Linked DNA regions of Bombyx mori. The protein of the gene in region 2 purifies or fractionates together with the protein of the main gene of each other region. This does not show direct contact. Links are inferred from orthologs where the notes say so. Each region holds a gene or a part of one and is shown on either strand. Other genes may lie near its edges.

Region 1 (4,222 bases), on a different chromosome or scaffold from region 2:
CCAGCGGCTTTGTTTCATTTTCCCTCATTTGTGCACTTTCACAGATTTTAAACAGTTAATAAACCACCATTATTACACATTTGAACTCGAAGAAACACTAAATAGACAAAATAAAACAAATCACACAACTTCACTCCTCGCGTTCCCGCCAAAAAGTCATATTTAATCTATTCTCAATTTGACCACAGACTATAAGCAATAAGAAAAGTTTGGCAATAAACAAATAGTATATAACACACACGCATTGTGTGTGTTAAATACATATACAAATGGTAGTGTGTGTAATGTCTTGTTTTATTGATTTCATGAATTTTTAAGCAAATTAAAAAAAAATAACATTCTTCACCCCTTCTGTATATTCTCTATAAGAGTGGGAAGTTTCATACTCATACCGTCCGCGCAATTTTCTTAAAAAGGGATACAAAATTTTTGCTTCTCGCATTAATATATCGATTAATCTAAATTTAATCTAAAAATCAATTAATGTTGATCCGTTTTTTTTACGATAGATATTTTTTCTGTCGTTTAATATATAAGTCGTGTGATAGGATAACGAACGACGCTCGTGAAGACGAAATGGAGGAGAACATGGGTCAAGTGAACACCATGATCGGGAATCTGCGCAACATGGCCTTGGACATGGGTTCCGAGCTCGAGAACCAGAACCGACAGATCGACCGCATCAATCGCAAGGTAAGATCGAATGGTTCGTCACAACCCTACTACGTGACAGACCTGTATAGTTCGAACAAAGTAAATTCGTTGAATGTTTACGTAAAATTAGTGTTGCCAGATAGAAAATTTTTTTTACTATATTCTCATTTACTTCTATTTAAATTTAAATAAGCTGTTATTTAATTCCTGAAAAGAAATAAAATTAAAAAAGAGTAGTTAAGCACTCCTTTGCACGTATGTACAGACGTATTTTAAAATGTTTTTTTGTCTATATTATCATAAAGAATAAATGAAAATAACATTTAAATAGATTCTAAAGTTCTCTTAAACTTAACTTTTTCATGTTTTTAATATTAAGATACAACAAAAATAGTCTGGTTTTTTTTATTAAACTAATTATCTACAGTAATTATTATATTTAATATTTACATCAGAGAAATAAATAAAATGGCAACACTACCAACGAATTTACTGATCAAATCGAAATATATTTCAAATCTTCGTCTTGTACATTATCTGGTGTGGTTTTCAAATTTTAATCTGCTAATGAGAAGAAACGAATTGATTTTCCTCGATGAATTCTGTCGCTTCTCATAGCACTCATTGATCACCATTTCAATGTGTATGCATTTGCCTGTCACTATAGTAACGAAGTTGCTTAGATAGAGTTTGTCCATTATACGAAAAATGTAGCGCTTAGTGGCCCTCGAAATTGTTTGATCACCCGCTTACTGGCAGGTATTGGGTAGAAAAAAAAATAGAGTCGAAATCCGATTGGTTAATAACTGAAAACATGACGTAGCTAGGATTTATTTTTAAAAGTCGTTATAACCTATAAAGATTTAGGTCGTAATTCTGGTTAAATTCTACTTAGTGTTGCTATTGTAAAAGTCTCGAACAAGAAATGCATGTCATTGGTCATCTGGAGATAAAAGAATTGTTCTTGTTGTTGTTATTTAGAGATTAACTTACTTTGGTCGAATAAGAGTTTGAGGCAGTTAAAATATAATATCTCCTCAACGGCCCTGTCAATTTATGATAAGATAAAATAACATGTTTCCTCGGTAGCCAAGTAAGCCTATGAAGCGGATAAAATCTCTTGTTACCTCCGGCGCTTAGATTAATCTGTGATACGAATAGAATAACCAAATTCCCCCGTCGCCAAGTGAGACACCCAAAAAGAGTTATTATTTCCTCATTAGCCAATTACGAGGAGATATAAAATATACATTTCCACGACAGCTAAGTCAACCAAGTATATTATTATGCAAAAAAAAGAAGTAAATATGAAGTTTTAAACAATTTTACTTGGTGACTGAATCGATGGTGCTCCTGATTGCTGGGTCGAAGAACGTGGGTTCGATTTCCACATTGGCCATACATTCATTGTAACACTGAGACCTTAGAACCCATGTCTCAGGGTGGGTGGCGGCATTTACGCTGTAGATGTCTATGGGCTCCGATAACCACTTAACACCAGGTGGGCTGTGAGCTCGTCCAACAGTACGCAAAAATAATAATTAAAAGGTCTTTTTGCTATTTATATCAGTCTCTTGTTTGAGGCTGGATGACCGCCTGTCACTTGTTCCCGGTTATTATCATTATTATTAACTATGTATGAAGTTTTAAATCTGTTTATAAACCTTAAATAGTCGACCTATAAAAAATTAGTGTTCAAATGTGATATAGTTGCATACTCTTATCGCCTATTCTTCTATCTTAAGCATGCTCTATTAGATTTAGAAATAAGAATGATACGATTTTTTTTTTTTTCGTAATTTAGTAATGTACTCTCGTCTCACGATGTCATGACTCCCAATGAATACATTACATAACCACATACCGGAATTAGTTCCGACATCATTCGAATAACATGTCCGACTCCCGCAGAATTAGAGGTCATCAGTAACACGCATTCATACTAACTAACATGTTATATACTCTGTCTGTCAAGAAACAGCGACTGACATGCCAATGGAAATGGCAAGCGCGGATAAGTCGTTATAGCCGGTCCGACGCCGCTTTTATTATTATAAACATGAGCAGTCGCTGTGTATTGAGCTTGTACTATATATATATATAAAAAAAATACGGGTCTTGTGTATCATAGGGAGAGTCAAATGAAACGAGGATAACTCTGGCGAACCAGCGCGCTCACGAGCTCCTCAAGTAAACGACGGCGGCACTCAAACACACAACAGACAAACACACAGTCTCGTGGATTGTTTATAAATACGCGTAAATCAAACAACAAAAAAATAATAATCCTAAAAGCGCCTAATCTATAGTCCGTATTTGAATTTGTTCACGAATAATAATAGAGAATTTTCAAATGGTACGTATAAAATATGATGGTACAGTTTTGGCATTATTAGTTTCTAGTAAACATTGGTTTGAATTAAGATGCTATATTTGATTGCATCTTGATAACCAAATAAATGACAAGTATATTTTTAGTGGTTTGTAAAAAGCATATAGATGTTCAAAAAGCCTCGTCCTTGCGCTATTGTATGTGAGTCGACTATTATCAAAGGCGGCAATCTGACTTTTGGACAATGATTGGTAAATCAGAAAAACGAATTATTGACTTTGTATTCCATTGGCAGTCACAAAACTCTTCGGAACGACATCTTAGATAAATAACAGGTTAACTATTAACCTTTATTTAATGCAGGTTTTGAACCGTATTCTTTGAAGGAGACGATTATATTCAAATAAATCTGTATTGACATATCAATAAAAAAATTTTGTCCAAATGTACAGATTGCCGCCTTTGATAATAGACGACTCATGTAAAGTATTATTAGATGAACTAGCTGTTCTATCTGTGCTAAACAAATTCTTACTTACGAACGTATGCTTGTTTAACTGCTTTATAGAATTTTTCAGCAAGAAAACAAATCAGTTAGCTTCCTTACGATTACGTATTGAAGAAAAGATGACGTCTGTGCTTCCTTTTAGTAATTATATCTTAATAACCATAATTAAATGTTCGAATGTAAAAGCGCTTTTAGACAATTCATATGGCATATTGACGTAAAACGAATGAGAAAATAAATTCATACGATATTCTATAAAGCAGTCAATAGAAGAATATACTTTGAAAACGAAATTTTAACATTATATTATAGAAAAAAGCACATATGTAACTCAGTGAATAATTTTATTCCTTCGATTATTAATCTAAATAAAATATCTCGTAATACATTTTTTCTGTATTTACCTTACCTTAAAAATTGTAGCCTAATTCTATAAAGTTATATAAACTTAAAATTCATAAAAACTTTTGTCACCTTCTATCTATTATAGTTAGTAAGGTAATTATTTGAACGCACTTATTCTATTTACCTACCTTTTTTTTTTTCACAATAATAAAGTTTCGCTCTATGAATTTTACAAATTTTAATGTTGAATCTATGAAGGTTAAATAGGGTTGTCATTTATATAAAATTACGAATAGTCAAAGGCCGATATCCAAGTCGCTTAAAGACCGAAAAAAATAATTAAACATTCATGAAAAGTAACTTTAAATGTAATCAAATATATA
Region 2 (4,637 bases):
ATTAAATTAGGCCAAAGTAACTCGGACCAAACTAGATTACTTTTATAACGTATAAAGTTTTCATTTGCCTTCCGAGTGATAGGAAATTTCATTTTGCATTTATTTTTGGGCTTCAATACGAGGAGGTGTTATCGGTGCACGTTCTACATTCAAAAACGTCAATAAATTCTCTTCTTTTCAATATGAATAAATCATTGAAGGGGCGCACGTATTGCAACGTTGAAAAATAAAATTGAAGACATATTGAGGTTTTGTACGTAGAACTTTTAGGATTTCCCGTGAAATTAACACAATGTTCTGTATATATAGTTGTACTGAAAACACTTTCCCAGCGGTGTTGTTTCAAACTTGGGTCCCCGAAGTCCTATTTCAGCTGTAGTGCTCATATTATGAACAGAGTTAACATAACCTGGTTCGCCGACTATTTATATGTTTAAATTTCGTCTTCCATTCAACGTTACCCATTTTCATTCAATTGTGAACAAGCACACACCTGTGCGCTGAATAAAATTTGTATCTACAAGAAGTTTTGTAAAATTCAATTAAAAACCACCAAAGTTTCGTGAAAATGAGTTGGTAATATCTAGAACACAGCTATTTTCCTGCGACACTTCACAAGCATTCTTGCAAGCTCACGTACACATTTTCAATCGAGCGAGCTTTCACAAAAGAGGTCTTTACAGCCAACACAAACTTCGTGAATAAAATCAGTTTTATTTTAAGGAAATATTCTCTGAAAATGTCGCCCTTTCGGTCGCTTGCCGTCGAGCGGAAAATGATCTTTTTAAAAACGTAAAAGAGTGACAAAGTTTTTTCAATTTCTTGATGTATGTTAAAGTTGTTATCCTAACTGTAATATAACTTGTCTGAAAAATTCCATTCTTCAGTATTTTATTGAGAAAGTGTAGATTATGGTATCGCTGGGCATTTCTTAAAATTCTATTCTATTTAAACGACGACTTTTTTTTAATTAAAAGCATGCCTAGACTGTCGTTTCCGCACTCGCATTTTATTAATAATTAAAAAATAACCAAACAGGTTATTTTATTTCCTTCCAAGAACATTAAATTTTGTAAAGTACATTAATCCAAATTTAAAAAAAATCCTTCATACAAATTTTAAAGTTACTGTTTTATTTTCTTTTGTTCGTATTTTGAATCGACAAGAAAGAACATGCTAGAATACAGGCATAAGATATTAAGTAGATTTTCTGATTACTGATGTTAGGGCGTCTCGTGAACTCGCACTGATAGATACAACCAGTCTGTCTGTTTTTGGCGCGAAACAGTAATTAATATATTAAGATTTGAAGGGTCGGACAGTCCTTATACTATTAAATTGAGAATTGACCCCATGGCAAAGTGGGTGTCGGCAATAATTTTACGATTTTTATGGCCATGAGCTCTTTCACCCACCCACTTCTGAAATAAAGTGACAATTATCAAACAAAAAGTTCTTATGTTCTTCTAAACGAACACGTACATCCAACGTATTAGGATGTAGATATAAAGTTTTTTTTTAATGCTTAGATGCGTGGACGAGCTCACAGCCCACCTGGTGTTAAGTGGTTACTGGAGCCCTTAGACATATATAACGTATATGCGCCACCCACCTTGAGATATAAGTTCTAAGGTCTCAGTATAGTCACAACGACTGCCCCGCTCTTCAAACCGAAACGCATTACTGCTTCACGGCAGAAATAGGCAGGGTGGTGGTACCTACCCGCGCGGACTCACATAGGTTCTGCCACCAGTAACCGTAAAGTTGAAACAAATATATTCCAAATTCCTGTAAAGCAACCACGGATTCAAAAAACCTTTCGTAGGAATCGTGTTTGATAACGTAAAGCTTTATCACGAATCTCTTCGATATTAATGACTGAACCGATGGGTTATCCGAAGCTATTTAGGCTGGGTCAATGGCCAATCTCGACCATTCGTGGCGATCTTGCCGAGTTCATTGCCGTCGACTCTCGACCATTAAGCCATCTCTATCCTTCCAATTAATTAATTATGCATATTATGTATATTTAATTACATACTTTCGTTGCGTGTGGGATGAATTTTATCTAATCTAGTTGCTAAAAGAAATGTTTGTCACGAGGGGCTTTTGACTGCCTATGACATTCCAGCTTCCAAATAGACCGTTCTCAATTCACTTTTCATTTATTTGAAGGTTGATGTAATCGAAATATTTTTAAGTATGTCCCATAAAAATGTAAACAATATTTTCATTTTCATTTCTGAATGGCGCAAACTCAGAATAATACAATGGATTGTATTAGTTATCACTATCGACTGTTTAAACGTTGATAAGATTGAAACAATGACTAAATTACCGAGTAGATTAAATTTTAATTTAAGTACTGAAAGCTTATACGTAAAGTAATATAAGCATAAAAGTAATATATTTCTTAAAACTAATAAAAACTGTTAGCTAGGGCGATTTAATTGTAATGATCTCTATTTAAAATCTGCTAGAAACAAGATCAACTTCATTAAATAGCACAAAAAGTCTGTTGTCATCGCGACAAACTAAAAACTAATAATCCAGTACATTTATTTTTGTTTTGTTTGTACTAAATAATTGTCGATATTATTATTATTTTATTGAAAACTTCAATATATTATAGTACAACATAAACTTAGGTCGATACGGCAAATATCGAGAACTTTATAACGTTCAGAACGATAATTAAATTTCATTTTAACTTTCACAAAATCCCTTTAAAGTTTAAAAATCCACTTATAAAATAAATCGGCGAAAATATTTTCTACAAAATTAGATTGAAATATTATTATCTCACAAAGAACCTCGTGTACGTCAGACGAAGAAAGTTTCAGCGCGTTAAAGTCAAGTAAATGCCGTCAACTTCGCCCTTCCGCCCACCGGTGTCTACTGTGTGGGTTATTTTGCGAGCTTTGCTACCCACGTTAACATAAACACCCGTGCTAATAAATTAACGGCACTCTACGTTATTTTTAGCACGAATTCAATATTGTAATTGATCACGTTTTATCATCCAAATATAGAAGAGAGCAATCGATTTTTGATCCGCCTCGATTCCCGCACGTACCAGCCGAGTGCCATTCTACATAAATTACTGATTTTGCATTGTGTAGCGGGTTTAGAAAGAGTTAGACTATGATATATACAAAATTTTAACAAAAACCAACCACGACATATATTTACATATGGTACGGTAAATAAAATAATTGTGTTATTTTAATTTGAACCTTAATTCCATCAAGCTAAATTAATTCCCTTGTGTGGGTATTTTTGGAGAAAACATTCAATTATGAGGGTTCAAATTGCCTTGTCGTGTCTTTATTATTCAGAATTCAGTCTATTTTTCGTTTACTTACTTTCATCTGACTGTGGCGCTGATAAGATGGCACTGTGCTTTTTCTTCACTTCTTCGACGTTCGCCTGAATCTTGTCTATCATCTCTCGTATTTCTTCAACCTATAAAAGATAAAAAAAAGAATGAAACCGTTCACGCATTACAAATTCACGTGAGAAACTAATGAATGAATCTTCTAATAAAAGTTCTGACCCGATCTCGACGAGTACACCTAACGCTAACCCGCAGACTATATCTAGCTCATTAATAATTCTGCCGCTCCCAGAACATTGGATATCTTTTGTTCTCAATGTTAATTACTCATGAATGGATTTATTTCGTTGCAGTGTGCCGGTTGTTTCTAAATCGGTGTTGGTTTAAAGAGGTTGAGTTTGTGTTGCACGAAGGCAGTTCTGGCTTCCGGCCAAGATCTCTCATCCTGACCTAGCCTACTAATCGCATTTAAAAAAAAAACTACGTACGTGAATATAATTTTAGGGCTAAATAATGATATGGGCGGCATTTACCACCAGTTTATTGATGATAGCACGGGGGATGCGCGATATCTCGGCCATCAGTCTCTTTCGAAGCGTGGTGCCAAGATAGGCGATCAAACTTATTATGTCTGAAGTGGAAAACTCTCTGGGGCGGGTCTCCAAGTGGGTTGAACTGAATTCTGTTCAGTTCAACCCATTGAAGACACAGGTTTGCGCGTTCACGGCGAAGAAGGACCCTTTTGTCATTCCCGTTCCCGCGAATCGCTTGCAACCTCTGGATCTACGAAGGGACTTCGGTTCTTTCTGTGTTTTGTACCGTATGTCCCATGGAAAATGATCTGAAGAGTTATTCGGGATGATCTCCTCATCTCCTTTTTATCATCACACCTCCCGCTATTGGAGCAGAGTTCATCCATATTATCTGGAACCGCTGCAATGAACGTCAGTGCGTTTCCAAAGATCTTTTCTGCCACGTCCCATTCGACTTTGGAATGAACTTCCCTCTACAGTGTTTCCCGAGCGCTAAGACATGTCCTTCTTCAAACGAGGCTTGCGGAGAGTACTTAATGGTAGGCAGCGGCTTGGCTCTACCCCTAAGCATTGCTGACGTTCATGAGCGACGGTAACCACCTACCATCCGTGGGCCGTATGCTCGTGGCCTACAAAGTCAAAAAAATACTCAAAATTCAAAAAAATTTAAAATTCAAAATCATTTATTTCAACTTAGATGTCAGTATAACACACTTGTTGAATGTCAAAATATAAATAACAATGTTAACTCTACCACTTTTTGGTAA

What was found. Proteins that work in one complex are often made in the same cells at the same time.
Region 1: the proteins of syntaxin-1A (region 2) and synaptosomal-associated protein 25 purify together in Drosophila melanogaster (affinity purification with western blotting; 4 studies listed by BioGRID, with this or other methods). This does not show direct contact. The link is inferred for Bombyx mori from reciprocal best matches to the Drosophila melanogaster genes Syx1A and Snap25.

The regions. Positions count from the first base shown.
Region 1 is NC_085131.1:7,036,217-7,040,438, reverse strand, and holds the end of synaptosomal-associated protein 25, read left to right. Parts: intron 1-548; coding exon 549-846; 3' UTR 847-2,785; coding exon of another isoform or gene 2,786-2,848; 3' UTR 2,849-2,881; downstream 2,882-4,222. UniProt on the Drosophila melanogaster protein: May play an important role in the synaptic function of specific neuronal systems. Associates with proteins involved in vesicle docking and membrane fusion.
Region 2 is NC_085116.1:5,340,348-5,344,984, forward strand, and holds part of syntaxin-1A, read right to left. Parts: intron 3,466-4,637; coding exon 3,366-3,465; intron 1-3,365.